4 linked regions of the Stegostoma tigrinum genome follow. The protein of the gene in region 4 purifies or fractionates together with the protein of the main gene of each other region. This does not show direct contact. Links are inferred from orthologs where the notes say so. Each region holds a gene or a part of one and is shown on either strand. Other genes may lie near its edges. The genes, in order: tnrc6c1, tarbp2, trinucleotide repeat-containing gene 6A protein-like and protein argonaute-1.

Region 1 (7,567 bases), on a different chromosome or scaffold from region 4:
TTGATCTTGTTTGTTTCTCCACAGTCTCATTAACAAGGAGTCATAAAAAACATGAGTGCACTGTTCACCATTTCTTGAAATTTGCTTTGTGAATTTGTAATAGCAGTCCCAGAAGTTAGAAACCAAACTGGAAATGTTTCCAAAGTCAAATCTATTCTTTTTTTTCTGAGTACAAAGGCAGCACTGTGTAAATGCTATCTGCAGTGATGCTTATTAATTAATGCATCTGATTTCATCAGCCAGCTTCTCCTCACAATCAGCACCTGTCAGGTCATAGGAATCATAGCTGGTCTTCAGTGGAGCTAATTAATTTTTCTTTTAAAAATATTCACATCAAACAAGGTAACAAATAGAAAAGGGACTATCATACTTCCTGAGCAGCATAACAGAATTTAACATCACTCTGTTAAAAGAGCCAACTTATATTACGAGCTACATTAAATGAACTTTCTGCTTACCATAAAACAATCATACTGATTGATGAATGTATGTATTATACATTCATTCAATTTATTCCAACTGTTTTCTTTTAAAATGTGATTGGGAAATTGTACATAAAACATATGATTGGAGAACATGCATCAAGTCAGATTCGCTAATTTTACTTTTGCAAATATTTAACCTGGCATATATTGAATATTACAATTCTATTATATCAATTTTGAAGACAAAGGGACTAGGGTGGGTCTCTAGAGATGCCATTTCCGAAATATACAATGGCTAACTCGAAAGAAACATGATTCCTTTGCTACATAAGGTCAAACTTAACTAGTAGTGAGAAAGATCAAATTAAGGTTTATTCACTGTAATTATATTTCAAGGAAGTTGCTAGCAACCCTGTGCCTTTTGCAGTCAGAAAACTTGTGACCTGTAGAGGTTGGCTTTGCATCAGCTATGACAAATGATACTTCTTTGAAAAACTGCAGGATAAACCTTATGTGTATTCCTGCACACACAACTTAATTAGCACAACATTGAAACAATTGGCTCCATATCAGGTACGCAAACTATTGAAAACTTTCAAGACTAATGCGCTTTTATAAAAAAAGTGCTATTAGATCAGGCTGATATACTTTCATATTTACACATTGGAAGTAAACTAATTAGCTTGCCAAATTCTACACACCAAGATGATGGAGCATGACTGTCCATTTTGCTGGGCCCCAAACAACTGAACAGAGCCCCACTGACTGACATAGCAAAAACAAATGCTTTATTCACGCTTGTTCCCTCCTACAATAGTGATTTATTATTGCCACTGTATACAACCAGAATGGATAAACTCTGCATTTTAAATAAATAATATAAATATTGAATGAGGTATTCTGAGAATGTCTGTTGTATTTTCTCACAACACATCACTACAGCATCATGTGTTTGAAAACTGCTTAAAAATTATCTTTAATTTTGTTTAGCCATGGGAAATTATCAAAATCTACAAACTGAGTTCAGTTGTCAGTGTTAACAATCACTATTTAATGCATAGTTTCTTAGAAAAAGTTCCTCAGATTATATAGAAGACCAAGCCATTCTACCAAGTTCACACACCTCCAGATACTGTAGTGGTATCCCAATCCTGTGCTGGGCTCTAAAACAATCTAATCATGTAAGCCAGGTTAAAAGAAGGTTTGAGTGTTTTTATTCCTGCTCTTTAATTGCTGCCTATAAAAAGAATAAAACAAATTTGTCAATGCATGGAACAGCATCAGAACATCTACATTAAATTAACTCAAGTGCATTATTTATGCCAGCTTTATCATTCAAAATCATCAACATTTCTTCAGCTGGCAGTTTCTATTCTAATCTTCCTTTCCGCTTTATAATTGTCTGAAGCTACACTCTTCCCTGCTGGAAGATTAATTAGCCAGTTCCCCGTGCACAATATACCATACCTCTGAATGCTGTGGAATCTGGAATGATGCCAACTCTCTTATTACAATTCAGCTGGCTGCTGCTGTGAGAGGCTCAGTGCTCCCCTAACAACAGTTGCTGTGCCAACTTAACCCCAGCACTGGCTAACTTTCAAAAATCACAGGCCAGACAAACTTTGATTGGCATAATTACTCACAGTCATTAAGCGCAGTCGCATTACACATGCAAAACAGGCGAGTGGAGTGCACGCCGGCAGCTCGCATCAGTAAGACGAGCAGTTGTTCAACAGTGTACTGTAATGGAGAAGGCACTCGGCTCCTACCTAATGGATCTCAAATACTAAAGCGACAAAAAGCTTCAGCGCAGAATCTACTTAAAGAGCAGCATTGAGATCATCTGAGGAGGGTAACCTTGTCAGCCATGTTGGATGCAAGGCTTATGGCAAACACAGTAGGATACGTTAACCAGACAACGATTTTCCCACGGTCTTATTCTAAGTAATCAGTAATCAGCTCTTGAACATTTTTTTTCTACAGCTGCCATTAATGAAGACAAGACAAATCTGCATATTGCCATTCTTCATTGTGCTAACTTGGCAATGAGCCTACTGCTCGACTGAATAGCCAAACATAGGGCCTTGAGGTGAAAATGTGGAAACAGCTGAACGCTGCAAAACTGGTTCACTCAAAACGATGAAACAATTAACAACGGGTGGGAAAATTAGAAGCGAAAGCACGCGTAGACTGTTGAAACTCTCACTTTTGCTTTCTTTCTATATCTTCGACTTGGTCTCCGTGCGGGAAGGAATTTAGTAATCACAAACTGAGGTACAGATACAAAAATACTGTACAAAAAAAGTGGACTAAACAAAAACAAAAAAAAATGAGGCCAGGCTGAAATTCCTGCGCACTCTGCAACCATCACTAATTAATTAGCGCTAAATTACCTCACAGATCGGCCAGGCATCAGCTTCGTGAAGTTTATTCAGCTCAAGGCGACAAAATCGAAACAAAGCGAATAAAGAATATCCAGCAAGACCCAGGATTCAGCTGCTGGATATGAATCAGAATTTATGGGAGAATCTGCTGCATGTGAAAGCAGGTCATAAGCTCTGCAATACAGGCTGCAACAGCCAACTGCAAAATGAATACATCACACTCAAACAGGCTGACGCAGCCACAGCACACATCCTTACTTCACACCATCAAAATATTCGATGAAACACACTTGCGAAAATACTAATGATGTTGGCCATTTTATCACACTTTTAATTTTATGTACCATCGGGAAGCCCTTGCCTCCTTAAGCTTTTTGTTACCAACGCGACTATTTTCAAGGAAATCTAGTGACCCGCTATGAGTTGGAAATTTGCCTAACTTTGCTCCGAAACAATTGTACACTTGCAAATTAGCAATTACCATAGTTATGTCCAGGATTTGATTACTCCCAGCAGTGTCAAATTGTGCTTCTGTGAAAAAATGTTTTGTGCGTAATCCGCTCTGTACTGCAGCATATTTGTATACCTGTAGTATGCCAGCCTTGTACTGTGCTGAACGGTACGTTAATTAATCATGTGAAGCTACAAAGCACCACTTTGTAAATGAACGAGAGGGGACTCTTTTGTTTCTCCCACTGGAAGTTACAGTACAAACCTGGCAAATCTATGTGGCTAACCTAAAGGCAAGCAGATACTGTTAATGATTGTGCACAGAGCAAAATGAGACGTGATGCCATATGTCTCATTTTGTCAAGCCAGAAATGAGGAGAGATGCAGCAGCCATTTTATAAACAGAATAACACTAAACAATAAAGGGCTCTTAATGCAAACAATGCAAATTTAATTTTAAAAATCATATTTCAATGGTGATGTGCATGTTAGGACTTCTACAATTTTCTTAACAGCATCACTATTGGAAGGTGGTAAACAAATATAAATAGCAGTGATCTTCAAGCTGCTAAAAAAGGAAGCAATTTTGATTCACATCTCAATTATGTGGAATGAATTAAAAAATTAAATACTTACAAAAACACCCTGAATGGAATACAGTCATGCTGTTCTTATTCCAGTATTATGTTGTGACTTTAAATATTAGGAGCTTTTATATGGGAGAATATTAAAGGAAAATTTCATTGGTAAGGCACATACTAAATCTAAAATGTAGAAATTCAACATATAACTAAAAGAAATGAAATAATTTGTATTTAGCCATTTACTTCTAATTTGTCGTTTGGTCAATTTATTTAGTGCATTCAAACAACTTATTTAAATTTGATATATCTCAGAACATGCACTATTTCTAAATTTTCACACCACCTGATGTGTGCAAACCTGAAAAATCTAACTCATGCTTACCACAAATAAAATGAGCCAGTAGCTCACTCACTAATTCTTTATACTTCCTTTATTCTCTTGAACATTAAAAAATGACCATTTTCTGTTGACAAACCTCTACGATTAGCACTGATTAATTCTCAGAATCTGACAGGTTTCTTGTTCCTGCTGTTTAAATAACAAACCACCTTATGCCACTTCATTCCAAAAATCATTGAGGCAGTTGAGATCAGCTACATCCCTGCACAAAAGCAATGGATTCATTTTTTTCCCTAGGATTGGGAATTAGTTCATATTTCATGGATTGAAACATAGAAATGAATAGTTTGCTTGGGCATCTGTTAAGGAAACAAAACACTTCCCATTAGATGTTTATGCACTTTGAGCTTGTGATTTTGTCAAATTGGCGCACATACTAACACACACACACAAACACACACACACACACACACACACACACACACACACACACACACACACACACACACACACACACACACACAGGTATAATTTTGAACTTATATTGTGTCTCATCTGTGGTTTTTACATTTCCCCTTACACAAGACATAATATCCACACAGCCATCATTATCAATTATTCTGCCAGCACACATTAAAGATCTTACAAATTAATCTAGTTCATATTTTTCACAAACGCTCAAACAACCTGTCATTCTTTTTCAGTAAAGTACCAAAAGATATACTGTTACACCTTTATTTTGCTTATTTATCAGGGGCTTTTTCTTTTCAGATAATGTTAAAATTGAAAAATATACAGCTTCTGTTATGTTGGTCAGTCAACATCAGAAGCCATGCATTTACGGGAAAAAAAACTTACCAATGAAGTAGACTGAGTTTCCTCAGGCCTTTGGGGGCAGGTTGGATTGTTGGGAAAGTTTCAGAAATTGACTTTGCGATGGGATATGGATGTGACACCATCCTGCTCTGACTTTCCCTTGCTCACAATAATGGAGAGCAAGGGACACCCTTGAATCGGATGGGGAAGTAATTAAGAAATTTTAGAGAAATTGTAGAATAACCAATTATAAGGATCTTAAGCCTTGAATCTTGGATTTCCAACTGTAAAATCTGTGTTTTTTTTTTAAACTGTCAGCAACTCAGCAGGGTCAGCAAGATGAGCGCATAGCCTAAAGGCCTCCTTCAGTAAAACTGACAAGCTGGAAAGCCTTTGATTAGTTACTCTGAAGACCTCCAGCACTGGCCACTGAGAGACTGCTCAGTACTTCTTCAGGTCACTTATTCTCTGAGAGTGTGATTATTGCTTGATAGGTGATTGCCAACTGCATGGAGAGAGAGAAAAGAGAGAGTCAGTAGCACAAGCAGAGATGATGGGAACCAAGAGTAGTGGGAAGGAAATTAATTAAACCAGTCTTGGGAACTTTTACTTACTTGCAGAGGAAGCCAGAAGCTAAAAGAAACATACTCGAGTTTATAAACATGCAATAACAATATCAAATTGAGACATCATAAGAAAGCTGTGAGTTAATTGACTGGTGAATATTGCATCTATTGTTTGTCAGAAACTGGTCTTCCACTGGTAAAAGTATATGTCCAGTCACTGTTTACTTCTCCAAGGCTGAGCAGCAAAAGGCTATTTAAATTCTACCCAATCCAAGCCAGCAATAGATCAGGACCAAATTCATGTGAACTCAAGATGTTGATTTTGATCTGTATCTGCTGTATGCTTTTGAGTTTGTACTGAAGTGGGCCTCTCTGATTGTCACAATTGCACATGCACCGGAAGTCCTGGTGTTAATGACTGGGAGATTCCAAAAGCAGATCAGGTAAGATAGTGTCATGGACCAAATTATAGATTAGAAGTGAAAATGTTTTTGCATTATAAGAGTATTTTGCATCGCCCCAGCTTACAAAGCATTCTGTGCACTGACTTGTGCAGGTAGCTAGCGTGGCTTAACTTGGTCATCATCAGGCTGATCCTCAAATTCTCATTCAATGATGAGGTTCACTCCGCTCCTCACTCTGAGGGAGCATCAGGTTGTGCAAGACACACGATACCACAACAACAAGTGAGGCTCAAGCAGGAGAACATTATCGAACACCATCTGACTTGTCCAAACATCAATATCTCATTTTCAGTACACTCTATGTATTTAAAACTTTTATTAGGCTCAGTACCGGAGTCATGTACCATCTCTTCAGGGGATCTCCCTTGTTACCCATATGCCACCAAAGGTTCAGAACAAATAAGGTCCCTGGCACCTGGGAGCATCTCAGCATGTTAGCACGACATCTTCTAAGATATCGAGTGCACACCTTTTGACCATGATCACATCCAAGATGCTCATAAATGGAATGGTAGCATTTTCTGCTCAGGACTGTCCCTAGCTTTCCCAAAGGAGTTTTATTTGTCACCTATGTGCAATCTATGACTCCTTGTACTTTTGGATACCATACAATGTTAGCAAAGCCTCTGGTACCATCTGCTTGACTTGTGTTGTCAGTGCTAAATGAAATAAACTCATGGAGGCACGTGAACGCTGTATCTATGAAAAGCTTCATGTGATAATGAGTAGCTAGCTGCAGGATCCGAGAAAGGTCTCCAGGTAAAGACTTGAAGGAACTCAACATCAAAAAATTCAGGACTATTGTGACCTTCCACACCACAAGTACAGACAGTCCACGAACACAATTTGAGTCAATCTCCACAGCCAACATGCCACACAGAGATGTGACTGTTTCACTTCAAGGAGTCTCCTCTGCCATTGGCATTCTGACATTTTTAGGAGTATGTCACACATTGCTGGTACACTCTGTTGGTAGAATAGAGCCTTCTCCTCCCTCTGTCCTCCTGCTGCTGATGATGATTTTTTCCACAGGATCGTAATCAACTGTCAGTTCATTCCTCCTGAACCACAGTGTGAATCAGGCCCTGGCCTGTTCTCCCACTCATCTCCTCTGGACTGCAAGAGGAACCTCCTCCAGAATAGATAGTACTCTGAAGAACAACTGTATCCAGGTCCAGTACTGAGGTGCAGGAAATTCCCTTGACACCTCTCTTGATGCCTTTCCACAACAGTATGTCCTAGGTAAGGTTCAAAACAATTATTAAAATAACTTGCGACACTAGCAAATCCTTCCCACCTTCTCTGTAAGAGTCTTGTACTAAAGTCAGCCAAAATCCTGCTTGTAAACTTTCAAATGTCCTTGCAATGCCTCCTCATACTGGCACAACTCCTTTGTAATGTTTTGTCCATGCGCTAACTGAAAATGTTGAGGGCAACATTAAATTTGCATTTCACAAGGGTGATGCCAAACTGTAATGGTTGGAGTAATCCATACATTTCCTTTTGTGATCAAAGGGCTTGAAATTAAGCAGCAAGTG
Region 2 (8,057 bases), on a different chromosome or scaffold from region 4:
TAGGCAGAGGATTCTAGGGTGCAAGAGGCTTGATAGTGGAAGACTTTGTGACCATAGGCAGCAATTTCCAAGCCATAACTTACTTGGCAAACCACTTTACTAAAAAGCCAAAGAATTTAGGCACAAGCACAGGCTCAGCTTAACAACCCTAACCCTGTACCCTCCTTATTTGTTCAGAACTATGGGTAGATGTTTACCGATTAAACCAATACAGTCACAAACCAAATCCTGGTTTTTCTGGTGTCATCCAGCCAGGGATATCCTAATCTTGAAGCAATTGCTTGCTTGGTTATTTGGAGCCAAGTGAAATGTTCCCATTGTTTAATGGTAAAGCCACAATGCCACTCACGAGACCGGTCAATTAACTGCAGTCTACAATAAACGGTTTTGCATAACAACCTAATGTTAGGAGAAATGATATTTTGGAAGCATTTTGATGTAAACCTGTGTTTATGTCCTTCTAACTTGCCTGCTTTAAATATATGGAAGATGGGTGCATGTGTGTCTAGCAGTCTTTTCTATGCAAATTGTTGATGCCTCATCCAAATAAATATTTCTTTTTGGACCTAATGAATCTTTACGGCTCCACACAAAAAGTTAGCATTCAAAGAGAAAAGGCAAATGGAGTATTGACCTTTATTTTAAAGGGAACAGTGTAAAATGGCAGGGGGGGGGGGGGTGGATTCAGTTCTAAAACTTGCCACAGCCTTGGAATACTGAGGTGTTTTGGGCCCTTTATCTAAGGAAAGATGAACTGGTATTAGAGGCAGTCCAGAGAAAGGTTCATGTGGCTGACACCAGGTATGGAGGGACTGTCATAATGAGAAGAAGTTGAGTAGGGTGGGCCTGAACTTGTTTGAGCTTAGAAGAATGAGAGGCAATCTTATTGAAAGAAGCAAGATGGTTAGGGCTTGACAGGGTCAGTGTGAGCAGGTTGATTTCACTTGTGGGAGGGTTCAGGAACACAGGCATAATCTCAGAATGTGGTGTCCACAGAGACGAGGAGGAATTTCTTTTCTAGAGGGTAGTGAATCAATGGAATTCTTTACTGCAGAGGGCTGTCAAGGCTGAGTTCCTAAGTATATTCAAGGCTGAGATAGACAGATTTTTAAGCTACAGAACAAGAGAGATTTGGGAGTCATCACCCATGAACCACAAAGAACCAGGTTCAGCAAGTAATAGGGAAGTCAAATGGAATGTCATGCCTTCATTTCAAAGGAGCTTGGGAAGAGTGGGACTAGGGTTTGAGCTCGATAATTAGCCATGATCATAATGAATGGCAGAGCAGACTCAAGGAGCTGAATAGCCTACTCCTGCTCCTATCTTCATCTTTGATATAAATAGGGAGGTCTTGCAAAACTAGATATGGCAATAATCAGACCACAGCTGGAATACTGTGAACGGTTTTGGTCCCTTTATCTGCAAAGATAAACTGGCAATGGAGACAGTCCAGAGAAAGTTCACTTGGCTGATCCTGGGTATGGAGGGATGGTCTTATGCCTAGAAGTTGAGTAGGTTGAGCCTGTACTCATTGGAATTTAGAAGAATGAGAGGTGACCTTATTGAAATGTACAAGATTCTTGGGTAGGGCGGGGGGGAAAGCTTGACAGGGTTGATGCAGAGAGGTTGATTCCCCTTGTGGAGAGTCTACGACCAAGCAACATAATCTCAGAATAAGGGGTTGCACATTCAAAGAAGAGACAAGTAGGAATTTCTTCTCTTAGAGGGAAGTGAATCTGTTGCATTCTTTATTGCAGCTGTTGAGGCTGAGTCACCAACTACATTCAGAGCTGAGGTGGACAGATTTTTAATCAGTAAAGAAATCAAGGGTTATGGGGATCAGGCATGCTCTCATCGAATGCCAGACTTAATGGCTTCAGCAACTGAATTTTGCTTCTACATTTTAAGATTTTATTTGTGTGCCAGGTGTGGCTCAGTTGGTAGCACATTTGCCTCTAAGTTCTGGATTTGTTATCCATGTTAAGAGCACAAAAATCCAAAGAACAGAAATAGGAATGGACCATCACAGCACCAGGGACCAGAGTTCGATTCCACCCTTGGGCAACTGTCTGTATGGAGACTGCACATTCTCCCAGTGTCTGTGTGGGTTTCCTCCAGGTGCTCCAGTTTCCTTCCACAGTTCAAAGGTGACACAAAGGTTATACGTCCAACAGGTTTATTTAAAATCACAAGCCTTCAGAGAATTGCTCCTTTGTCAGGTTGACTCCACTTGATGAAGGGGCAGCACTCTGAAAGCTTATGATTTTAAGTAAGCCTGTTGAACTATAACCTGGTGTCACGTGACTTCTGACTTTGTCCACCCCAGTCCAACACTAGCATCTCCACATCATGGCTACCAGTCCAACAATGTGCAGGTTGGGTGCCTTGGCCAAGCTAAATTGCCCATAGTGTCTACAGACATGCAAGTGAAGTGAATTAGCTCTGGGAAATGCAAGGTTACAGGAACATGGTGGGGGTGGGATGCTCTCCAGAGGGTCTGTGCGGACTCGCTGGGCCGAACAGCCTGCTTCGACACCATAGGGCTTCTATGATTCTGTAAGGCCCATCAACCTTAAACATGATCATAGCTGATTTCAGGCTTGAATTCCACTTTTCCAGGAAGGACATTGTCAGACATACCTGGATCCACTTAAAGTAAATCTGCCCTCTTAGATAGCCAGGCATGGTGCAACGGCACTATTTCGAAAATAAGGAGAGTAAGATCCTTTGTGACAACTATTTTGTCCCTCAAATTAGATGCTCTGAGATCACAGTCACATACTTGGAAGTGCCTGCGAACTGTCTGTAGCTTCCTACCTCACAAATGGGGCTGCACTTCGAAAGTCTCGCAAAGCGCACTGGGAGGTCCCGAAAATGGGAAAGGCTATATACAAATGTAACTCAAAGCAGACGGGTTTCTGCTACTGCAGCTCAAGCAGTGAATGAACAGGGAGGAAACAAAAGAACTTCCAATTCTAAAACCCGGATATCCTCCGGCTCGCTCTATACCTGGGACAGCTGGAAGTCTTCTTGGCTGCAGCAGCGGCCCGATCCTCCGTCATCCCAGATGACAGTGCCGGCGATCGTGGCTCAGACGGCGGCGGCTCCGACTCCTGCTGCTCGGTCCCTGCATAAGCACCAACGCCGTTCGCCACTGCGCAGGCGCATCGGCTTTTGCTGCCACCACTTCCGGTTCAGCGGTCAAGGCCCAAAAAGCGCGCTAAAGATCCAACTGGCTCAAAATGGCAGCGGAGCGCCTGGGCACGAGGGAAGATATTACTACCAAAGTACACAACAGGTTTTTTTTAAAAAAAGATACAAAGACTTGGTAGAATTTATTAATTAGAATGAGTTTGCAAACATTCTTGCTGTTATATCTCTTTAGAGGAAATATGATAATCACAAAGTAACCAGCACGTAGAACTTGTGATTAGCAGCAATTGTGCAGCTTAATCTGAAGCATGTACTGCAAGGGAATATGGCTGTACTTTCCTGTAACAATAGTTGCTGAACTTTTATGGCATTTGCGTCATACAAATGCCAGGCAATGACCATCTTCAAGAAGACGACTGACAATCTAAACACCCCTTGACATTCAGTGCTGTTACCATCAGTGAATTCCCCACTTGTCAACATGGTTGTAGTGATTATTGACAAGAAACCCAACTGGACTTGTCACATAAATGCTGGCTACAAAAGAGCAGGTCAGAGGCAAAGAATACTGCAGCAATTAACTCCTCCCGATTCCACCCCCCGCCCCCAAAGCCTGTCCACCATCTGCCTAGCACAAGTCGAGAGTGTGATGGAATACTCCCCACTTGTCTGGATGGGTGCAGCTCCAACAGCACTGAAGAGGCTTGACACCGTCCAGGACAAAACAGCCCACCACTGGCACAGCATCCACTCCCTCTGGCATTCAGTAGCAGCAGTGTGTACCACATACAAGATGCATTGCAGAATTCAACAAAGATCCTCAGACAGCACCTTCCAATCACAACCAGTTCCATCCAGAAGGACAAGGGCAGAAGATACGTGGGAACACTGCAATCTGCTAGTTCCTCTTCAAGCCGTTTACTATCCTGATTTGGAAAGATATTCGCTGTTCCTTCACTGTTACTGGGTCAAAATTCCTTGAATTCCTTCCCTAAGGGCATTGTGGGTCAACCTACAGCACAAGGACTGTAGTGTTTCTCAAGAGCAACTAGGGATGAGCAATAAAAATGCTAGCCAGCCAGTGATGTCCACATCCCACAAGTGAAGAAAATAAAATGTCTTGAGCAAAACAGAATGTACATTTGGTTTACTAGTCCTGCAGAGAGTTTGGCAACCTTGATTTAAGCAAATGTTGTATCACAACAGTAGATTAATCTACTTTTAAAATCATCTGATCAGTCCAAAAGCACAAGATTCAAAAATAATTATTGTCTCTATGCTGGCTCCTTGATTTCTTTAAAGTATAATATTTGGCGAAGTTTGAGATTGACAGATTTGCATCCCACTTACGCACAGCTAAAATAAAATTATACAATTGTTTTTGGGAGATTTGGGGAGAATAAACCAAATACTGGCAACAGTCCAGCTGATGGCAAATATGTCAAATTTCAATGCCAGACGATGGTAAGGAAACAGCAAAATGTACAACAGTTTAAGAGTATAGGTTCAGAAGAAAAGAAATGAATTATGTTTGTATTTTTTAAAAATGTGTAAATGATTGTTAGCTAGCCTTCAGTAGAAGGCAAGCTGGCCAGATCCTGCCCCTGGTGTATCAATTCTGAGTGAAGCCTGTTGTATTGCCAAGAAGTGACGTTAAAAAAAATTGCAACGTGTGTACAGGGACTGCTTGTCCCAAAATAAGTTGTGATACTTTCCAGTCAACACTGCTTTAAAACTTTGGTCATCTTATAACCCTTCATCTCAGGGAATTGCAGTTTTCTGGCTGGCAGGTTGAAGAGAATACCTGCAGCAGCTAAGTTTGCCACTTAAACCTTCATCTACATACTGCTTCAACTCCTAAAATTCCAATGTATGTTGGAGTCTTGACACATCTAGTATGAATATTAGGAATTCAGGTAGTCACACCCTGGATTTTGTGGAATATAATGGTATAATCAATGATAAAAGGTGAATAAAGACTTGTATTCCATACCCACAGTTCAGAGATGACATTTAACTTGACAATATTATATCCAACATTAAATTCATTTTTATTTGCAATACTAAATGCAAGTAACAAAATAAAGCAAAGAAAACCACATCAGAAAGAACTGTCCTGATAATAGACAAGCAACTAAACATTTCCTGAAGTCAACAATATTACTTCAGCGGGTCTTTGAAATAAGTGGTTCCAGGAATAAAGCTAGAAAATGGGAGGGAAATAGCCTCCCTTCAGTCATAGAGAACTTTCCAAAAACTGTACTATCCAATATGACTCCCCCACCCCACCCCACCCCACTAGTTTCATCTACACAGCAGAAGTGGGGGGCATATTTTCCTTGGAGCTTGGTAAGATCTGATCTGTGCATTTTTGTAGCTTGCAAAGTGCACATCTGACCTGTGTAATAGCAAATGTCATTTTTTTTTTGTCTTCACACCAGAATCTGGCTTATATTCATTAGAAAAATATCTCATCATCTCATAAAACCTCTATAACATTGATATAAAGAAAACAAATGTGGAATGAAAAAAACAAAGCACATTGAGATCTTGTTGCAGCTCTATAAAACTTTGGTTAGACCGCACTTGGAATACTGCGTCCAGTTCTGGTCACCCTATTATAGGAAAGATGTGGATGCTTTGCAGAGGGTTCAGAGGAGGTTTACCAGGATGCTGCCTGGACTGGAGGGCTTACCTTATGAAGAGAGGTTGACTGAGCTCGGTCTCTTTTCATTGGAGAAAAGGAAGAGGAGAGGGGACCTAATTGAGGTATACAAGATAATGAGAGGCATAAATAGAGTTGATAGCCAGAGACTATTTCCCAGGGCAGAAATGGCTAGCACGAGGGGTCATAGTTTTAAGCTGGTTGGAGGAAAGTATAGAGGGGATGTCAGAAGCGGGTTCTTTACACAGAGTTGAGAGAGCATGGAATGCGTTGCCAGCAGCAGTTGTGGAAGCAAGGTCATTGGGGTCATTTAAGAGACTGCTGGACATGCATATGGTCACAGAAATTTGAGGGTGCATACATGAGGATCAATGGTCAGCACAACATTGTGGGCTGAAGGGCCTGTTCTGTGCTGTACTGTTCTATGTTCTATCATCCTGTGATAATGGGAACTGCAGATGCTGGAGAATCCAAGATAACAAAGTGTGGAGCTGGAGGAACACAGCAGGCCAAGCAGCATCTCAGGAGCACAAAAGCTGATGTTTCAGGCCTAGACCCTTCATCAGAAAAGGGGGATGGGGAGAGGGTTCTGGAATAAATAGGGAGAGAGGGAGAGGCGGACCAAAGATGGAGAGAAAAGAAGATAGGTAGAGAGGACAGTATAGGTGGGGAGGTAGGAAGGGGATAGGTCAGTCCAGGGAAGACGGACAGGTCAAGGAGGCAGGATGAGGTTAGTAGGTAGGAAATGGAGGTGCGGCTTGAGGTGGGAGGAAGGGATGGGTGAGAGGAAGAACAGGTTAGGGAGGCAGAGACAGGCTGAGCTGGTTGTGGGATGTGGTGGGGGAGGGGAGATTTTGAAGCTGGTGAAGTCCACATTGATACCATTGGGCTGCAGGGTTCCCAAGCGGAATATGAGTTGCTGTTCCTGCGACCTTCGGGTGGCATCATTGTGGCACTGCAGGAGGCCCATGATGGACATGTCATCTAAAGAATGGGAGGGGGAGTTAAAATGGTTTGCGACTGGGAGGTGAAGTTGTTTAATGCGAACCGAGCGGAGGTGTTCTGCAAAGCGGTCCCCAAGCCTCCGCTTGGTTTCCCCAATGTAGAGGAAGCCACACCGGGTACAGTGGATACAGTATACCACATTGCCAGATGTGCAGGTGAACATCTGCTTGAGAGTGAAAGAACTGCAGATGCTGTAAATCAGGAACAACAATAACAACAACAACGTTTTATGGAAAGGCTCAGCAGGTCTGACAGCATCTGTGAAGGAAAAATCAGAGTTAATGTTTCAGGTTCGGTAACACTTCCTCAGAAAGAACCTGAAACGTTAACTCTGTTTTTTCCCTTCACAGATGCTGCCAGACGTGCTGAGCCTTTCCAGCAACTTTGCAGAAGTCTTTATTTCCTTTTGTAACTGATAATACCATTACAATCCATAAAAGCTCAAACGACTGGCTACATTAATTCAAAGTGATCCTAGTATTCATACCAAATAAAGTCACAGAGTCATACAGCACAAACACCCTTCGGTCCAACTCGTCCACACCGACCATGTTCCCAAACTAAACTAGTCCTACTTGCCTGTGTTTGACCTATATCCCTCCAAACCCTTTCTGTTCACATTTTAATCCAAATGTTTTAAAATGTTGTAACTGTACCTGCACCCACCACTTCCTCTGGCAGTTAATTCTACACATGAACCACTGTAAAACAAGTAGCTGCTCATATCCTTTTTAAAAAAAACTCTTCACACCTTAAAAATATGCCCCCTAGTTTTGAACTCCCCCAAATAGGGAAAAGACCCTTGCTATTTACCTTATCTATGCCCTTTATGATTTTATAAACCTTAATAGGTCCCAAACCTATCTAGCCTCTCCATATAACTCAAACCTTCCATTCCCTGCAACATCCTAGTAAATCTTTTCTGAACATCTCCAGTTAGATAATATCCTTCCTATAGAAGGGTGACTAGAACTGCACACAGTACTGCAGAAGAGGCTTAACCAACATTCTGTACTACTTCAACGTGATGTCCCACTCCTGTATTCAAACATCTGAACAATGAAGACAAGTGTGCTAAACACTGTCTTAACCACTGCCTCTACCTGTGTTTCAAAGAATTATGTATCTTTTATGATTTTGAGGAAACTGCTGCACCCCACCATATGTCAAAATATCCTTCCTTGATGAAAGGTCACAACCTGAAACATTCAGTGGAATTTTCATTTCTGAGGTT
Region 3 (8,033 bases), on a different chromosome or scaffold from region 4:
GCAATTGTACCCACTCCACCATTTCCTCCAGCAGCTTGTTCCATACACACACCGTCCTTTGGGTGAAAAGGACTCAGGTCCTTTTTAAATCTTTTCCCCTCTCACCTTAAACCTATGCCCTCCAGTTTTGGACTACCCCACCCCAGGCAAGAGGCCTTGGCTACATTCACCATTTCTGTGGCCCTCATGACTTTGTGAACCTCTACAAAGGAGGCTCCTCAGTCTCCGATGGTCCAACAAAAATAGCCCCAGCCTATTCAGCCTCACCCTATAGCTCAAACCCACCAGGCCAGCAACATCCTTGCAAATCTTCTCTGCACCCTTTCAAGTTTTACAGCAACCATCCCACAGAAGAACAACTAGAATTGTTCGCAGTAGTCCAAAAGCAGCCTCACCAAATGTCCTGTACAGCCGTGACATGACATCCCAACTCCTGTACTCAATGCACTGACCAATGAAGGCCAGCATGCCAAGTCCCTTTTTCACCACCCTGTCTACCCATGATTCCACTTTCAAGAAACCGTGCATCTCACCGCTAGATCTCTTTGTTCATTAACACTCCCCAAGACCATACCATTAACTATATAAGTCCTGCCCTGGTGCGTCTTACCAAAATGCAACACCTCATACTTACCCAAATTAAACTCAAACTTGGAGATATTACATTTAGTTCCTTCATCAATATTATTAATATATTGATTGTGAATAGCTGAGGACCAAGCACTGACTCCCGCCTGTACCCCAAAAGTCCATTTCTGGCACTCAAAAGAAACCTATTCTTTGTTTGCTAACAATCAGTTCTCTATCCATGTCAGTAAACTACCCCTAATCCTTTGCACCTTAATTTTTATATACTAATCTCTTACATGAGGTCTTTTCGAAAGTCCTTTGAAAGTCTAACTAGCCACATGCACCAGCCCTGACTGATCACCTCTACTGGCTACGTTTTCAAAACATGCTAGAGGATTTGTGAAGTATGATTTCTCTTTCACAAACCCATGCAAATGTCAATCCTGTCACTATTATCTGCTTTTACTGTCAAGATCCTCATATGTTGAAGGTTAACTTGACCGAGTCCTAGCCCTATCTTCCTAACAACCAGTCCTGAAACAGAAAAAGGCACAACAACGCAGGGACAGGATGTTGTCAAAAAGAACAAAGTTTTTTAAGCAGCAGCAACCTACCATACATAATCAAAAAATAAATAAAATTGCCCTTTTGGCAAGGCAATCATTGAAAATAGTAAGATTTATATTCCCATATTTGCACTTTCAACATTGCATCCAATGTGATCTCAGAAACTCAGCATTTGGTGGATAGAAAACCAACGTAAGCTTTTGGAGCTAGTAGGAACTGCCGATGCTGGAGAATCTGAGATAACAAGGTGTAGAGCTGGATGAACACAGCAGGCCAAGGAGCAGGAAAGCTGATGTTTCGGGTCGAGACCCTTCTTCAGGAATGGGTCAGACATCTTCATTTCTGAAGAAGGGTCTCAACCCGAAACATCAGCTTTGCCACTCCTCTGATGCTGCTTTGTCTGTTGTGTTCATCCAGCTCTACACCTTGTTATCTTATAAGCTAATGGAGCACCTTTCACAACCTCAAAACATCTCAACCTCAAAACAGAAGCTTGTTTTGAGGTAACGAATCCAAAATTTTGGAGCCTGTCCCATTCATGCTTGCACTGCCTGTATTTTTTTTTACGATATTACCATCATGCTAATGTTTGAATCCAGTCTCATAATTCTGAGAATGGCACATGACTAATGTGGCCCTCCACTGCACCCTACATTCCTGCTCACCACTTTTGCCTCCAGCTACATCTATAAATTTTATTCTTTAAGCCTTAGAAACCACCTAATTAACCAAATTTTTACCATTAGTCTTCACATTTTCATTCATTTAGTGTAAATGTGGATCTGGTCATAGTCCTGTGAAGTATGTTGGGATATCTTATTACTGAAAATGTGTCAGAACATTTTCCTACATTTATAAACGTCTCTCAAATGTTTAGCAGCTTCACAATTTCTATAAAAATTTAAACAGATTGAGGAATCATGTTTTTTTTGGCATCTGAGGATACACACACGCACACACACGATACGGAACTGAACCGTATGGACAAGGCAAGCTCACCCTAGAACTTGAAGTTAAGAAATAACAACAATGATAATATACTACAGGAACACTCATTCACCAATGAAAGATAATAACTACCTTCAAAAAATGGAGGAGCAAAGTAAATGCTCTCAAAGTAACAGCCAGTTGAAAGAATAACCACATCTGAAAAATCTGAATTACTTCTAAATTTGTATACACTGCACTTTACATCCCTTAATTTGCAGCGAGGCCGATCGACTCTTGCAAAATGCATGTTTACCAGTTAACATCTGGTTGGGCGGCACAACACGCCATGCCTTTCCTGACCCCGATCCAATCCCAGTTATTTTTATAGTATATGCAACATTTGCAAGTTCCAGTATTTATTCTACAATTTTTCTTCACAGTTCAACTCAAGCGAGATAAGGGGGGGGGGGGGGAGGAGGAGGAGGCTATACATGAGTGGGTGAAGGCCAGATATTTTCCTCCCCAAATTTAACTTGAATATATTTAACTGCAAAATGAACCAAAGGCAAACCTTACCTGTTTAGTTTACCTTGAGCTTCTTTGGTAGCGTTAGCCTCCAATCCTCTGCAATTAAACAGGCGACAATCAGAAGGCTATTTTGAGTATTATTTTTAAGCACAAAACCGCAGAAATGCCTTAAGTTCAGAGCGCTGCAATGCGGGATTTGCACACAGGCCCTATCCTACGGCTGCAGCAACAGAGGGGCCTACTTGTTTCTCTCTCACTCTCTCCACCCCATTACCCGACGCTCCCCCGTTTAGCGGCGACACAGCATCAAACAAAACGGTCGGTGGACTGCGTGCTCCCGAGCCGGCTCGTTTGCACAATCCAGGGAAAAAATAAATCTACACACCTCATTAATGTAAAGTGCAACAGTGAGAAATTCGAAAGCTAAACATGCGAATAAGGCTTTAACAGTGAGTGTGCGAGTGGCCGCGGCGCCAAACACAGCGATCACTTTCCACAGCCGCCATCTTCTCCTAACTGACAGGAACTGGTCCAACAGCGCGCGGCTGGGCACTTCCGGTCCGCAAATGGCTGATCACATGGCAACCGGCTCAGCATTGAGGGGAGGGCAGGAAAGAAAACGAGCTGTAAGTTGACAGTAAGCTCTCAAGGATGTACGAATACCAATAATAATTAATTCTCTAGCGTTGGAAGGGAGTTCGGAGACAGGAAGTCATTGGATATTTATCTCAAAAATCGCGTTTGGAAGTTAAATTAAAGACAGTCATTGTGCACACCCAGTTTTCTCCTCATGTAGTTTCCCCAGTTCAAGTCACCCTTGCCCGTTCATCATAGAATATTCGTGCGATATTCTACTGTACAACTTGTCCTCATCGAGCGATCACATATTTGTGCTTTCCAACCTCAAGTTTCCAAACTCCATTTTACCGTTGTTCTCATAGAATATTCGACCTTGGGCATTTTCACATTCTCAAGCAGTTGAGTTCGCTCGGCTGTTAGTTTCGACGGACTACCCCTGCAATTGATTTACTTTTTAATTCATTCCAATCTCAATAGATTTTGGTATTATTTTACCACAGTTGAATTATCTGGTGTTTTTTTCTGCATTTGATTTGATTGATTTTATTGTCACGTGTACCGAAATAGAGTGAAAAGCATTGTTTACGGTCGGTACAGGCAGATTACAGCAAAGGATGTACAGACCAAAGACATACAGGTTACATTATTTGAGGCTAGAGTCCTTTCAACAGTCTGATAACAGCCAGAAAGAAACTGTTCCTGAACCTGTCACTGTGTGTGTTCATGCTTCTGTATCTTCTGCCTAACAGAAGACGTTGGAGGAGTTCATTATCAGGGTGAGATGGGTCTTTGATGATGTAGGCTGCTTTTATGCGGTAGAGAGCTATTTAAGTAGAGTCCATGGATGGAAGGTTGACTTCTGTGATGGTATGGGCTGTGCACACCATCTTCTGTAGTTCCTTGCAGTCCTGGGCAGAGCAGTTGCCATACCAAGCCATTATGCACGTGGACAGTATGCTTTCAATGGTGCACCTGTAGAAGTTGGTGAAGGACATTATAGACCTGCCAAATTTCCTGAGCCACCTGAGGAAGAAGAGGCATTGTTGTGCCTTCTTGTCTTGCATTTATGTGAAGTCCAGGACAGGTCACCAGTTATCATCACTCGGAGGAACTTGATGTTCTTCACTCTCTCAAACTCAGTTTCGTTGATTTAGATGGGAGTGTGTTCTCCTCCTTTCTTTAAGAAGTCGATGATCAGTTCTTTAGTTTTGTTGACGTTGAGACAGATTGATTTCATTGCATCAAGTCACCAAGCTCTTTATCTCCCTTCTGTATTTTGACTCATCATTGTTAGATATCCATAATCAAAGTGATAGAAATCTGTTGGTGAATTAAACAATTTCCCTTGTTGGGTGCTGTGTATCATCATCAGGCATAGCTCAGAATAAAGCCATTCAAACCATCTGAAGTTAACCATATCATGAATTAAACGTAGAATAAAACTGACTTAACACTCTTTTATTTAATACCTCCAGGCAAGTACGGCGAAGGTTAGATTTTGAGTAAAACTCCTAAATATTATACTGTTAAACACTGATATTGTACCAGCTTTATCAGTCAAAAGATCCCTTTACTTTGTTTTATAAATCCCTTGACAATTCACAGTACATTTTCAATGAGAAAACCTTCTCCTCATAAAAATTAATCCTAAATTTAGAAACCTACATCTTCAACACTAATCTCAGACTTTCTTCTCTCTACCTACTAGTTTCTTGTGAGATTGAGCCCAAAGTTTATTGGCAACTTCTGGCACTTTCAGCCGTAGCATTGGAGAGATGCCAGCAGAGTGGTATTATCACTGGACCAGTAACTCCAGAGGCCCTGAGGACTTTTGTTTGAATCTCACTACAAAAAAAAATCCTGACATTTGAAATCACCAAATTTAAATGCGGAATTCAATGGTGGCCACAAGTGTTGTAAAGCCCTTTAGGGAAGTGATATCTGTAATCCTCACCTGGTCTGTTCTACTTGTGTCTGCATATTCACAGTACTGTGGTTGATTCGTAAATGTCCAGGAGTTGTACCTAACCACAACGAAGTCTGTTAAAGGAGATGAAACCAGGCAGACCAGAAGTGATAATGGCCCTGGTTGACCCTAAAATGTCCTCCTTACTAACATCAAGAGTCTTCTCCCAATTTTGGTATATATGTCCAACTGCTAGACATAGTCATTCTGATTGAATCAGATCTGACAGGCACTGTCCATGACACCATGATCACAAGCCCAATGACAGAAAAGAGCCACTGTAGCAGCACAGTGATAGGCATTCAAAAGAGTGTTTCCCTGGGATTCCTCAAGTTTGACTACAGGCCCCATGAAATCTCATGGATCAAGTTAAACATGGCCAAAGAAACCTCCTGCTTATTACCACTTACTACAGTTGATAAATCAGTTGTACTCTATTTTAATAGCCACTTGGAGGTCATACTGATGGTGTCAAGGACACAGAATGTACACAGGTGGGGACTTCAATGTACAGCACCAAGAGTGGCTCAGTAGCACCACTATTAGCAAATGTGTCTGAATCTTAAAGGACATAGCTGCAATACTGAGCTTGCAGCAGGCAATGACAGAACCAACAAAACGAAAAAAATATAATTGACCTCATCCTAAATGATCTACATTTAGCGGATACACCTGTCCCTGACATTATCGCACTGTCTTTACAGACTTCACTTTGAGGATACTTCCATCATTTTCTGTGGCAAAATCACTGTGTGGAATTGGTTAGATTTCAAACCAATCTAGCAAATGAAAACTGAGCAACATGATGTGCTGTGGATCAGCAGCACCAAAACTTTATGCAACATTTGACTTCATAGCCTAGGAGATCCCCAAATCAAAGATTACAAGCACAAACCTTTAGTATATTTCCAGAATGTTGTCATGACCTGTAACATTTACAGCAGCCAGTGCCTTCAGCCGTTGTTTGATATCATGTAGAGCAAATTGTGTTGGCAAAAGGCTGGCTTTTGTGATCCTGTAACTTTAGGAAGAGGCCAAGGTGAATCGTCAACTTGGCACTCCTGACTGAAAATGCTTCGAACTCGTTTTTTGCATTGATGGGCTGGGCTTCCCAATCGACAAGGATGGAGTTATTTGTGGAACCTACTTTTCCAAGTGAGTTGCTTAGTTGTCCAGTACCGTTAATGACTGGATGTGGCAGATTTGCAGAGCTAGGATCTGATCTGTTGGTTATGGGATTGCCCAAGCAGGGGAATCAACCCTGGTTCAATGAAGAGTGCAAGACATCACGTCAGGAGCAGCACCAAGTATATCTAACGATTAGATGTCAACTTGGTGAAGCCACAGAGCAGCAGTACTAGCAACATGTGATTAGACAGACTTAAGCAATACCAGGTTGACTGTCCTTGACATCAAGGCTGTGTTTGATTGGATGTGGCATCAAACAGTATTAGAATAACTGTCGTCAATCAGAATCAAAGGAGTCATATGTAGCACAAAGGACAATAGTTGTTATTGTTTGAAGTCAATCATCTCAGCCACAGGACATCACTGCAAGAGTTCCTCAGACTGGTGTCCTAGGCCCAAACACCTTCATCCATCCCTTCAATTATTTTCTTCCATCATAAGATCAGAGGTAGGGATGTTCATGAAGATTGTACAATGTTCAGCACAATTCACAACTCCTCAAATACCAAGGCATGGACAAAATTCAAGCTTGGGTTTATAAGGAACAGGTGCATCATATAAGTGCCAGGGAATGAACACCTCCAACAAGTGAGAAACCAACCAATGCCTCTTGACATTCAATGGCACTAAAAATGCTGAATCCCCTACTTTAAACATACTGGGAGTTACCAGTTACTAGAAGGTGAACTGGCTACAAGATGAAGCCATGAATTCTGCATCACGCAACTCACCTCTAGACTTCTCAAAGTCCATCTACTGGGCACAAATCAAAAGTGTGATGACATACTCTCCCCTTGCATGGATGAGTGCAGATCCAAGAATGCTCAAGAAGCTGTCTTGATCAAATGGGTCAATGGGCTGAAAAATCACAGATGGAACTCAATCTGGATAAATGCAAGATATTGCATTTTGGTACAACAAACAAGGGTAGGGTCTTGGATAGTGTGGTAGAACAAAAGGACCCAGGGGTTCATGTGTATAATTCTTTTACGTTTCCATCACATGTAGACAAGGTGGGTAAAAAGGCATTTGGCACACTTGCTCGCAATGTTCCATCCTTTGAGTATAGGAGTTGAGAAGTCACATTGAAGAGTTGTACGGGCCATTGGTGACGCCCCTTATAAAACACTGTATCCAGTTCTGGTTAACCAGAATATTATTAAACTGGAGACAGGTCGGAAGAGATTTTCCAGGATGTTGCCGGTTATGGAAGGTTTGAGTTATAAAGAAAGGCTGGTTAGACTGGGACCTTTTCCACTGGATCGTAGGAGGTCGAGAGGTAACCTTAGAGAAGATTATAAAATCATGAGGGGTATGGTAGAACTAATGATAGTTGTCTATCCCTAGGATGGGGGATTTCAAGACTTGGGGGACCATTTTTTAAAGGTGATACGAGTGAGATTTAAAAAAAGATATGTGGGGCAATTTGTTTTTTTACACAGTGGGTGATTCATATGTGGAATGAACTTCCTGATGAAGTGTTGGATGTGGGTACAATTAGAAATGTTGAAAAGACATTTGCATAAGTACATGACTAGGAAGGGGTTGGGGGGGATATGGGCCAGGAGCAGGCAGATGGTATTAGTTTGGGATTATGTTCAGTATGGATTGGTGGGATGGAAGGGTCTTTCTGTGCTGTGTGACCATTCAGGATGAAACAGGCACTCAAATGTCACACTAGCACACAGAGACAGCAGCATGCATA
Region 4 (8,043 bases):
TTATGAATCTGTGACATCAGGCTGTGGAGTTGGAGAAACATGAATTAACATTTTACTCACAAAGTCAGCAGTGCAAGTCTGGGAATCTAGTGAGTACAGCTTCATGGTCAAGCAGCACGCTGTTTATGCCAACACAAAATAAAATTGACACCTGCCTGTCAGTCTTGCCACTAGCTCAAACACCTTTTGTTTTGTCTTGCTCTTGAAAAAAGATTGAATGATTACTGGTACCTAAGTTTTTTCATGTCAAAATGCTTGCATTTTATTGGGATAAGGCAGTCTTGTTGAACTGATTATTAGTTGACCAACAAACCAGCAGGAACTACAGGAATCTGCTATGATACAAAAAACACAAGTTACACATCAGAAAAAACAAAAACCTAGCTGCACTGCAGACAATGTTTACACTTGCAATTCTAAAAAGGATTTTAGATAATTTAGAAATAATTTCTCAGCCACTAAGAATCACAGCACAAACTTTTAGTGCACCTGCATTGGATTTGACAGCTCATGCTGAACTTGTCCAAGCAGCAATTTTAGATTAGCTTAAATGTAGTTAGTTGTGAGCCTACAAAGTACTATGGTTCTTTAAGACTTGAAATGTTAATAGTTTTCGCCCCACAGATGCTACCAGACCTGCTGAGTTTCTCTAGCAACTTCTACATTTTTTTGTTCCAAAAATATTTTTCTTGCTTTAAACACTACTACTGAATTTATATTCAGAACACTACTGGGAAGTGCACTAGAATCCTAACATTCACTGCCAAAGTAGTATCACTTGCTACAGTCAGCCTACAAACTTTGTCCTCCTGTTGTTCACTCTTCCAACAACAGATGCTTTACCTTTCCTTGCTCCACCTAAACCATCCGTGACACCACACAATCAAATCTCCTCTTATTCCTCTCTACTTGAAATAAGAGCAACCCTAGCTTCTGCAGTTTAGCCACATAACTATAAATCCTTTCTGCACTCTCTTCAAAGCCCTCCTGTCTTTACTCAAGTGCACCTGCACACAATACTCCTGCTGAAGCAGGAACAAGTGTAGGCGATTTAGCTGAAGTCTGTACAATCGTTCAATTTATACTGCCTCTTGTGGTACACTGGTGGTGACCTTACCTCCAGATTAGTAAGGCTGGGTTCAAATCCCACCTGGTCCTGATAGGTGTCATAACATCTCTGAACAGGTTGATTAGAAAATATCGACAACAATTCACTGAGGTTATGGCTGTCTGTGATCCATGTCACTATGGCCCTGTCTGTCCTAACAAAAACTCCAGGTTTGAAATTAACAAGCATCGCAAGATCAGCTACCCAACTTCTACCACACTTTGGATTTGGAAGCAGTTCCTAATTTCAATTTTGTGTGGGTCTAATGGTTAAGATCATGCCCTCTGGCTCCAGACTCCTTAACTCAATTCAATTGTACGTAGCATGCCTGTCCTTGATAGTATTGAGATCTTTAATCATATTACTGGACAACTTTCTAAATTTCAGCTAATACAGACCCAACTCAGAATTTCCCCTTACCAGAATTTTGACAGCCAGATTGTATCTTGGGTAAATCTACAATGTTCTATCTCAAAAATGTGTATATTTTTCTGTATATCCATTTGTCATGCTCAGAACTTCCCACAGTATCCAGGTGTGGTCTAACCAAGGGTTAGATGGCTTTTGCCCTGATATTTCACAAAGCTGATTAACATTCTTTTTGAGACAACAAAGATGAACATTCTTTTTGTTTGGTCACAGTTTGTGTCTTTGAAAAAAATAATGAATTACCTTATTTGTGTGAAGGTCAGTGAGGAAGATTAGCTGAGATAACAGAACTCCACTGATCCTCTTAAATACCACCATGCAATCTTTAGAGCCCTCAGTTGCAAAAAGGGTCTACGGTTTAACGTCTCATTCAAAACACTTGAAACCCTCAGCCTTCTCATGTAGATGTACGACATCTGAACCACACAAAGCACTCCAAAGCCAACCAATTCCATGAAGTTATAGTTAGTATTGTTTCATAAGCAAACATAACAGCAAAAGGTGCAAAAATTAAAGGTGCGACATTAAACTGTTCTGGTGGCCACACTGTCACCCAGGAAAATTTAAAACTTAAATATCTGGTTGACACAAAATGCTCAACAGCATGAATCTAGAGGGTAAATATGCCATTACTTCCACAGGTGAAGATCGAGGCAGATATGAAAAGAATCTTCCTTTCTTCCCCACCCACTTGCACCCCAAATTAAAGTTATCCAACATCTAAATAACTAAGATAGCTTTCACACTAACCTACCTCAAAGTTGTGTTCATTACTCTTTGAAGAAATTCTTCCAAGCCCAAATCATTTCTTCCCAACATATTGGTTTCCTGCCTAACCATAGTGAGGCTTTGTGTATTGTTTGATTTACGTGCTTTCACAAAGGATCATTTATTCCAAGGGGAAGAGTCTTTGCCCATACCTAGATCCTTTGATCTTGACACTTCTCTGCATCCTCTGAAGAATCTGAGTTTTTTTTTGTCAATCACAAAAACTCGTCTCAGCACTCAATAGTGTCCAGAATGCCATATCTAGAGATTCATCATTTCATCCCGCTATAACAACATAAGAGTGCTTTGTTTCTTTACCCTATTCGGAAGTCCATGCCTTACTTCATATCACTCGGCACTGTCTTTTACTATTAGTTAACTTTCCGAATAAACAAATGAGATGTATATGACTTGGGAGCTTTTGCAGTCCACATTCCAAGAGCAATTTCTCCGTCAAATGTGATGCATTTACCTGCAGCTCAACGAAAAGTTTGAATCTGTAGAGATTCTACGGGGTCTACACCAGTGCTGTGCAGCAAAATGAGATTTTATTCTGCCCTGCAATGTGTGCACTGAGCTTTGCACTCGCAGCTTTAGCCTGTTTTTATTTCTTAAGAAAACAACTCTGTTGCCTGCTACTGCGGTACTGCGCATGCTCCCTCAGAAGACCCTTTCCCTGAGCCCCCAAAGCTCACTACAGAAAAATAACCACAAGCTCGATTCCCGCTCCCCACCAGGTTACCTGCTGTCGCTGGCCCCGCTTCCATCCCATATACCAGCGTGAGAGAGCGGATTTGCCCGGGTGTAAAGGCTCAAACCCCCGCGACCTCCCCACGGACCAACTCTACACAACCCAACACGCACACTGACACTGAGCATGCGCCGCCTAGGCTCCCTGGGGCCGCCACTGCGCACGCGTCTCATGGAACTGCCCCGGCAGCCGGCTCTCTTCCGCCACGCATGCGCCTAACACTTTCACCTCCCTTCCCCCCCACCCAAATCCATCGGACACAATGAGTGACGTTCCCGTAATGTCACGACGCACCTGCAGACGACGACCTAAGGTAGCAGGTAGCGCCACGTTGCGGACGCTGGAGGAGCAGTAGTGAGTGGTTACTGTGGGTCACGTGTGGACTCTTTAAAACGGACTTAAATTGTCAGAGAGACAGAGGGAACTGCAGATGGTGGAGAAGCTGAAATAACGAGGTATAGAGCTGGATAACACAGCAGGCCAAGCAGCATCAGTGGTGCAGTAAAGCTGACGTTTCGGGCCTAGAACCTTCTTCAGAAAAAAGAGCGTAGTACTGACACCAGCTTATCATCGAACAAGTTGAGAGCAGTCTGTTTTACAGTAGTCAATTTTAAGCGGCACATTTAGACAACAGAGTCTTCATGAGCGGGGATAATGGGAACTGCAGCTGCTGGAGGATCCGAGAGAACAAAGTGTGGAGCTGGATGAACACAGCAGGCCAAATGTGTTCCTAAAGATGCTGCTTGGCCTGCTGTCTTCATGAGCAGGGAATCGTTTAATTTGCTTCGGTGTTCCAGAAAGCTACGATTTTAACTTTGTTGCCTGGACAAAGCAATGGATAAGGTAAAATACTACGTCATACATGTGCAGCACTGAACACGCAAAAGCTAGAATAATGAACAAACTAAAATGTTATTATAAAGTGTGAAATAAATACAATACACACGTATATGTTCTCTTGAAAATTACACACGGAAGCACTTTTAAATGGTCCAGCCTCCCTCTCGTGGCAGACGTTCGTCATTGCAGAATTACCAACGTTTGCCATAAAATGGCTGGGGCTTTATGACTTCTTTGCTAGTTCAGAATGGGGATCAAGAAAGAAAGGGCTTAGAAACAGATCCTTAGGGCAGCAAGAACACAGAATGGATAAGAAGACTACAAAAGAACGTCATGCAGTGGCTGAGTGGTTAGCACTGATTCTCACGTGGCCAGGGACCCGGATTCAATTCTACTCTCCAGCGACTGTGTATATTTCGCACATGGGCTAGCGAGGTGTATCGGACGTAACAAATGCAGCGTTACAGGGATACAGTAGGCGGGTGGGAGGCTCTTCGGAGGGTCAGTGTGGATTCGAGGGAAAAAAAATCTACTTCCATATTGGAGGGATTGTTTGGTTCGAAGGAAGGAGGATGGGGGGGGGGGCGGTGAGAAACGCTTGTCTGTAGGATGTGAACGCATTGAAGAGTGATACCCAAAAAACTTGCCAAGGATATAATAAAATTGGGACTGTTCTCCTGGTGGGGAGGCTGAGACTCTGAAGAGGTTTTCAGAATCATGACCTGCAGTCCGTTGACATGCAGCTTTCATCTACCCCACACTTAAGATTTTTTTAAAAAAATTAAATAAAAGTTCACTCCTCTTCAACCACTGTGCTTTTCTTTTCTTTGGATATTCTCTTAAAATTCAACATTAAGATTCCTCAATATTTCTGTGCTCTTGCTGTCATTTGAATTTTTTTGCCTTTTTGTTGGATGACTGAAAATTTTAGATCTTCCCTGCTTCTCTCCTGTCATATGCAATCTATCCCATCACTGTTTCCTTATAAGAGAGAGAACAGTAACACCAGCTCTCCTCCTCTGCTCCTTTAAAGTCTCTCCTGACATAGATTTTTACTGCAGATATGGGTAAGGGAGTATATAACTTTGAAATCTAAAAATCGATAAATGATGAGGATTATGCAGGGTAATGACATTAAAAAGATCAGCCATGTTCTAGTTGAATGGCAGAGTGAGGTTGAGGGTCTGAATAGTACGCTACTGGTCCTAATTCCTGCGTAGTCACATCCACCATTGAACTAAGAGAACAAAACTGTATATAGAACTTCGGGTTCTGTTTCAGTCACAGTATAGTGTAATAAGATGCTCCTACTTTTAGACTCAAACCCTTTGCAATGGAGGGCCACCATTTCATTTGCCTTCCTAATTACTTATTGAATCAGCATTTGAGATTCATGTATGAAGGCACCTGGAATTCTTTACTGTCATTTTAATTAATATTCTGCTTTCTAGTTTTCCTACCAGAGTAAGCAACTTCACATTTTCCCACATTATATTTCAATTGCTAAAAATTTGTCCACTAAACACGTGCCCCTTCAAATTCTTTGTAGCCTCCTCACCTGCCTACCTTTTTAATCACCCGCAAATTTGGCGACAATGCAATCAATCTCTTCAGTCAAGCTATCAATACCAATTCGGTGCTATATCACTAATTACTGTTTACCAAATGATTCTATTTATTCCAAGATTTTAGAAATAATTCTCTTAGATGCTAATAATCTTTCCCCATGATATTTTAATCAAACATCTTAAAATCCAAATACACTGTCTGCTTTTCCTTCAGCTTTGCGTGTTAATTCCTCAAAAACTCAAAATTTGTTATACATGATATTCAGAAAACGATGTTGACTCTGATGGATTATAAATTTAAATTTATTGCTACTACTTTCTTAGTAATGGATTCCAGAATTTTCTCAACGGTAGACTAGCTGGGCTCTAATTTCCTGCATTGTTTGCCTCTCCATGCTCTTGCTTCTATATTTTACCAAAACTGGTCGATATTACAGGATTATCCCAGGCTACTTTATTGCAAACCATTTTCTTATACTATCCTTCTACCTCCTCTGTTGTCTAAGGTGATGAGCTCATGGACTTTAAGATCAAGACTGAAACCATCCGTTCAGTTGCTTTCTTCCAACTCACAGATAAATTTTCACAAAAGGTCCCCATGCCATAAGCAGGTTTCTCTTCCCAAGGTCTCTTTATGGCATCTCAGACCACACTTTATCCTCTGCAAGAAATCCATCTATCTATCTATCTATCTATTGTTCCTCCTCATATTTGACTCTTACTAAATTGCTGAACATTCTTGACCATGGAAGTTGATGTTAATTTTTTTAAAAATTCATCCACTAAACGTGGGCATCATTAACAGGGCGAAAAATTTTTGCCATTTTCTAACTGTCCAGAGGACAATTAAGACTTAACCACACTGATGTGTGTCTGGAATCACATGTAGGCCAGACCAGAGAAGGATGGCAGATTCCTTTCCTAAAAGGACATTAGTGAGCCATATTGCATTTTTTAATTCTACCGATCGACAATGGTTTCATGGTCATCATTAGACTCTCCTTTTCAGATTACTGAATTCAAATTTCACCATCTGCCATGGTGGAATTCAAACCCAGTTCTCCAAAATGTTGGCTGGGTCTCAGAGTTAATAGTCTAGCCATATATCACTAGGCCATTACCTATCCCTAAATAAATAATAATTGACAAATAATTCTCTTCAGGTATTGCACCCTCCATAAATCTGCCTCATCACTGCCTCCTCAAAAAGAAAATAAATCTTTATCCCTGAAGTCCATGTAAATCAAAGTCCCCATCTCCAATTCTCTTCACATATTCAAAATCCTTAAATGTGTTGTCAATTCCCAAATTGGATTAAATATTCCAAGCATCTTTCTGCCTACCTTAGCAATGAAATGACCCTCAAAGTTTCAAAATATGACTGTGACCATGGTAAAATATCCCACATCATCTCCAACAGTCTGCAACCTGAAACTGTTGATTACACTATCTATCTTCAATACATCTCCTCTGTCAAAGCCATTGCATTCAGTTCCATCACGAATGTTATCCAACAACTGACTCCAGCCCTCTTCCTGGCAGCTGTTATAGACTGATCCAGACGGTTCACAATGGTGAATGTTACATAGGATGCAGATAATTCTTGTGCCATCAAGACCTCCATTCCCACTTTTCCAATTACACCAGAGCCTCAGCTGTTTTGGAAACCCTCATTCTCATTTTTGTTATCCTTAAAAGTTCAATATTCCAATGTACTGCTGGCTAGTACCTATCTTACACCTCTGTAAACGTATAGAAATCTCTGCTGCCTGTATCCTAAATCAAATTAAACTTAGTTCACTTTGCATTCCTGAGATTCTGATCCTACCCTGGCTCCTGGTTAAGCAATACTGATTTGAAATTCTTATTATTGTTTACAAATTCCTTAGCGGCATTACCCTTCATCTTTATCCTCTGCCAACTGTAGATACCTGCACTCCTCCAACACTTCATCTTTAATCCACTCTTAATTGCTGTACCAATGGCAGCCTCTCAAGAACCCGAAACACTGAAATCACCTCCTTGCACTGCTGTACGTCCTTTAAGATGTTCATAAAATCTACCTTTAACTAAGATTTTGATCATCAGCTCAAATATACTTATGCCTTTCAGGGTCATACTTGAATAACTCTGAAGTGCCTCAATTTTTTAAAAACTACATTAAAAGAGAAAGCTTGCATGGTGCTCCTTTTTAATGAAGGCTTTTGTTTGATCTGAAGTGAGTTTGACTCATGTATTTCAACTGAAAAGTTGTTGAAAATGCTCAGGGTGACTTAGAACATAGAACATAGAACAGTACAGCACAGAACAGGCCCTTCAGCCCACAATGTTGTGCCGACCATTGATCCTCATGGATGCACCCTCAAATTTCTGTGACCATATGCATGTCCAGCAGTCTCTTAAATGACCCCAATGACCTTGCTTCCACAACTGCTGCTGGCAACGCATTCCATGCTCTCACAACTCTCTGCGTAAAGAACCTGCCTCTGACATCCCCTCTATACTTTCCACCAACCAGCTTAAAACTATGACCCCTCGTGCTAGCCATTTCTGCCCTGGGAAATAGTCTCTGGCTATCG

The links.
Region 1: the proteins of protein argonaute-1 (region 4) and tnrc6c1 purify together in Homo sapiens (affinity purification with mass spectrometry; 5 studies listed by BioGRID and IntAct, with this or other methods). This does not show direct contact. The link is inferred for Stegostoma tigrinum from reciprocal best matches to the Homo sapiens genes AGO1 and TNRC6C.
Region 2: the proteins of protein argonaute-1 (region 4) and tarbp2 purify together in Homo sapiens (co-immunoprecipitation; 4 studies listed by BioGRID and IntAct, with this or other methods). This does not show direct contact. The link is inferred for Stegostoma tigrinum from reciprocal best matches to the Homo sapiens genes AGO1 and TARBP2.
Region 3: the proteins of protein argonaute-1 (region 4) and trinucleotide repeat-containing gene 6A protein-like purify together in Homo sapiens (affinity purification with mass spectrometry; 10 studies listed by BioGRID and IntAct, with this or other methods). This does not show direct contact. The link is inferred for Stegostoma tigrinum from reciprocal best matches to the Homo sapiens genes AGO1 and TNRC6A.

The regions. Positions count from the first base shown.
Region 1 is NC_081375.1:33,587,467-33,595,033, forward strand, and holds the start of tnrc6c1 (trinucleotide repeat-containing gene 6C protein), read right to left. Parts: upstream 3,067-7,567; 5' UTR 2,819-3,066; intron 1-2,818. UniProt on the Homo sapiens protein: Plays a role in RNA-mediated gene silencing by micro-RNAs (miRNAs). Required for miRNA-dependent translational repression of complementary mRNAs by argonaute family proteins.
Region 2 is NC_081404.1:11,895,848-11,903,904, reverse strand, and holds the start of tarbp2 (RISC-loading complex subunit tarbp2), read right to left. Parts: upstream 3,158-8,057; 5' UTR 3,063-3,157; coding exon 3,010-3,062; intron 1-3,009. UniProt on the Homo sapiens protein: Required for formation of the RNA induced silencing complex (RISC). Component of the RISC loading complex (RLC), also known as the micro-RNA (miRNA) loading complex (miRLC), which is composed of DICER1, AGO2 and TARBP2.
Region 3 is NC_081376.1:22,158,384-22,166,416, reverse strand, and holds the start of trinucleotide repeat-containing gene 6A protein-like, read right to left. Parts: upstream 3,111-8,033; 5' UTR 2,986-3,110; coding exon 2,981-2,985; intron 2,692-2,980; coding exon 2,644-2,691; intron 1-2,643.
Region 4 is NC_081377.1:21,413,489-21,421,531, forward strand, and holds the start of protein argonaute-1, read right to left. Parts: upstream 3,182-8,043; 5' UTR 3,073-3,181; coding exon 3,048-3,072; intron 1-3,047.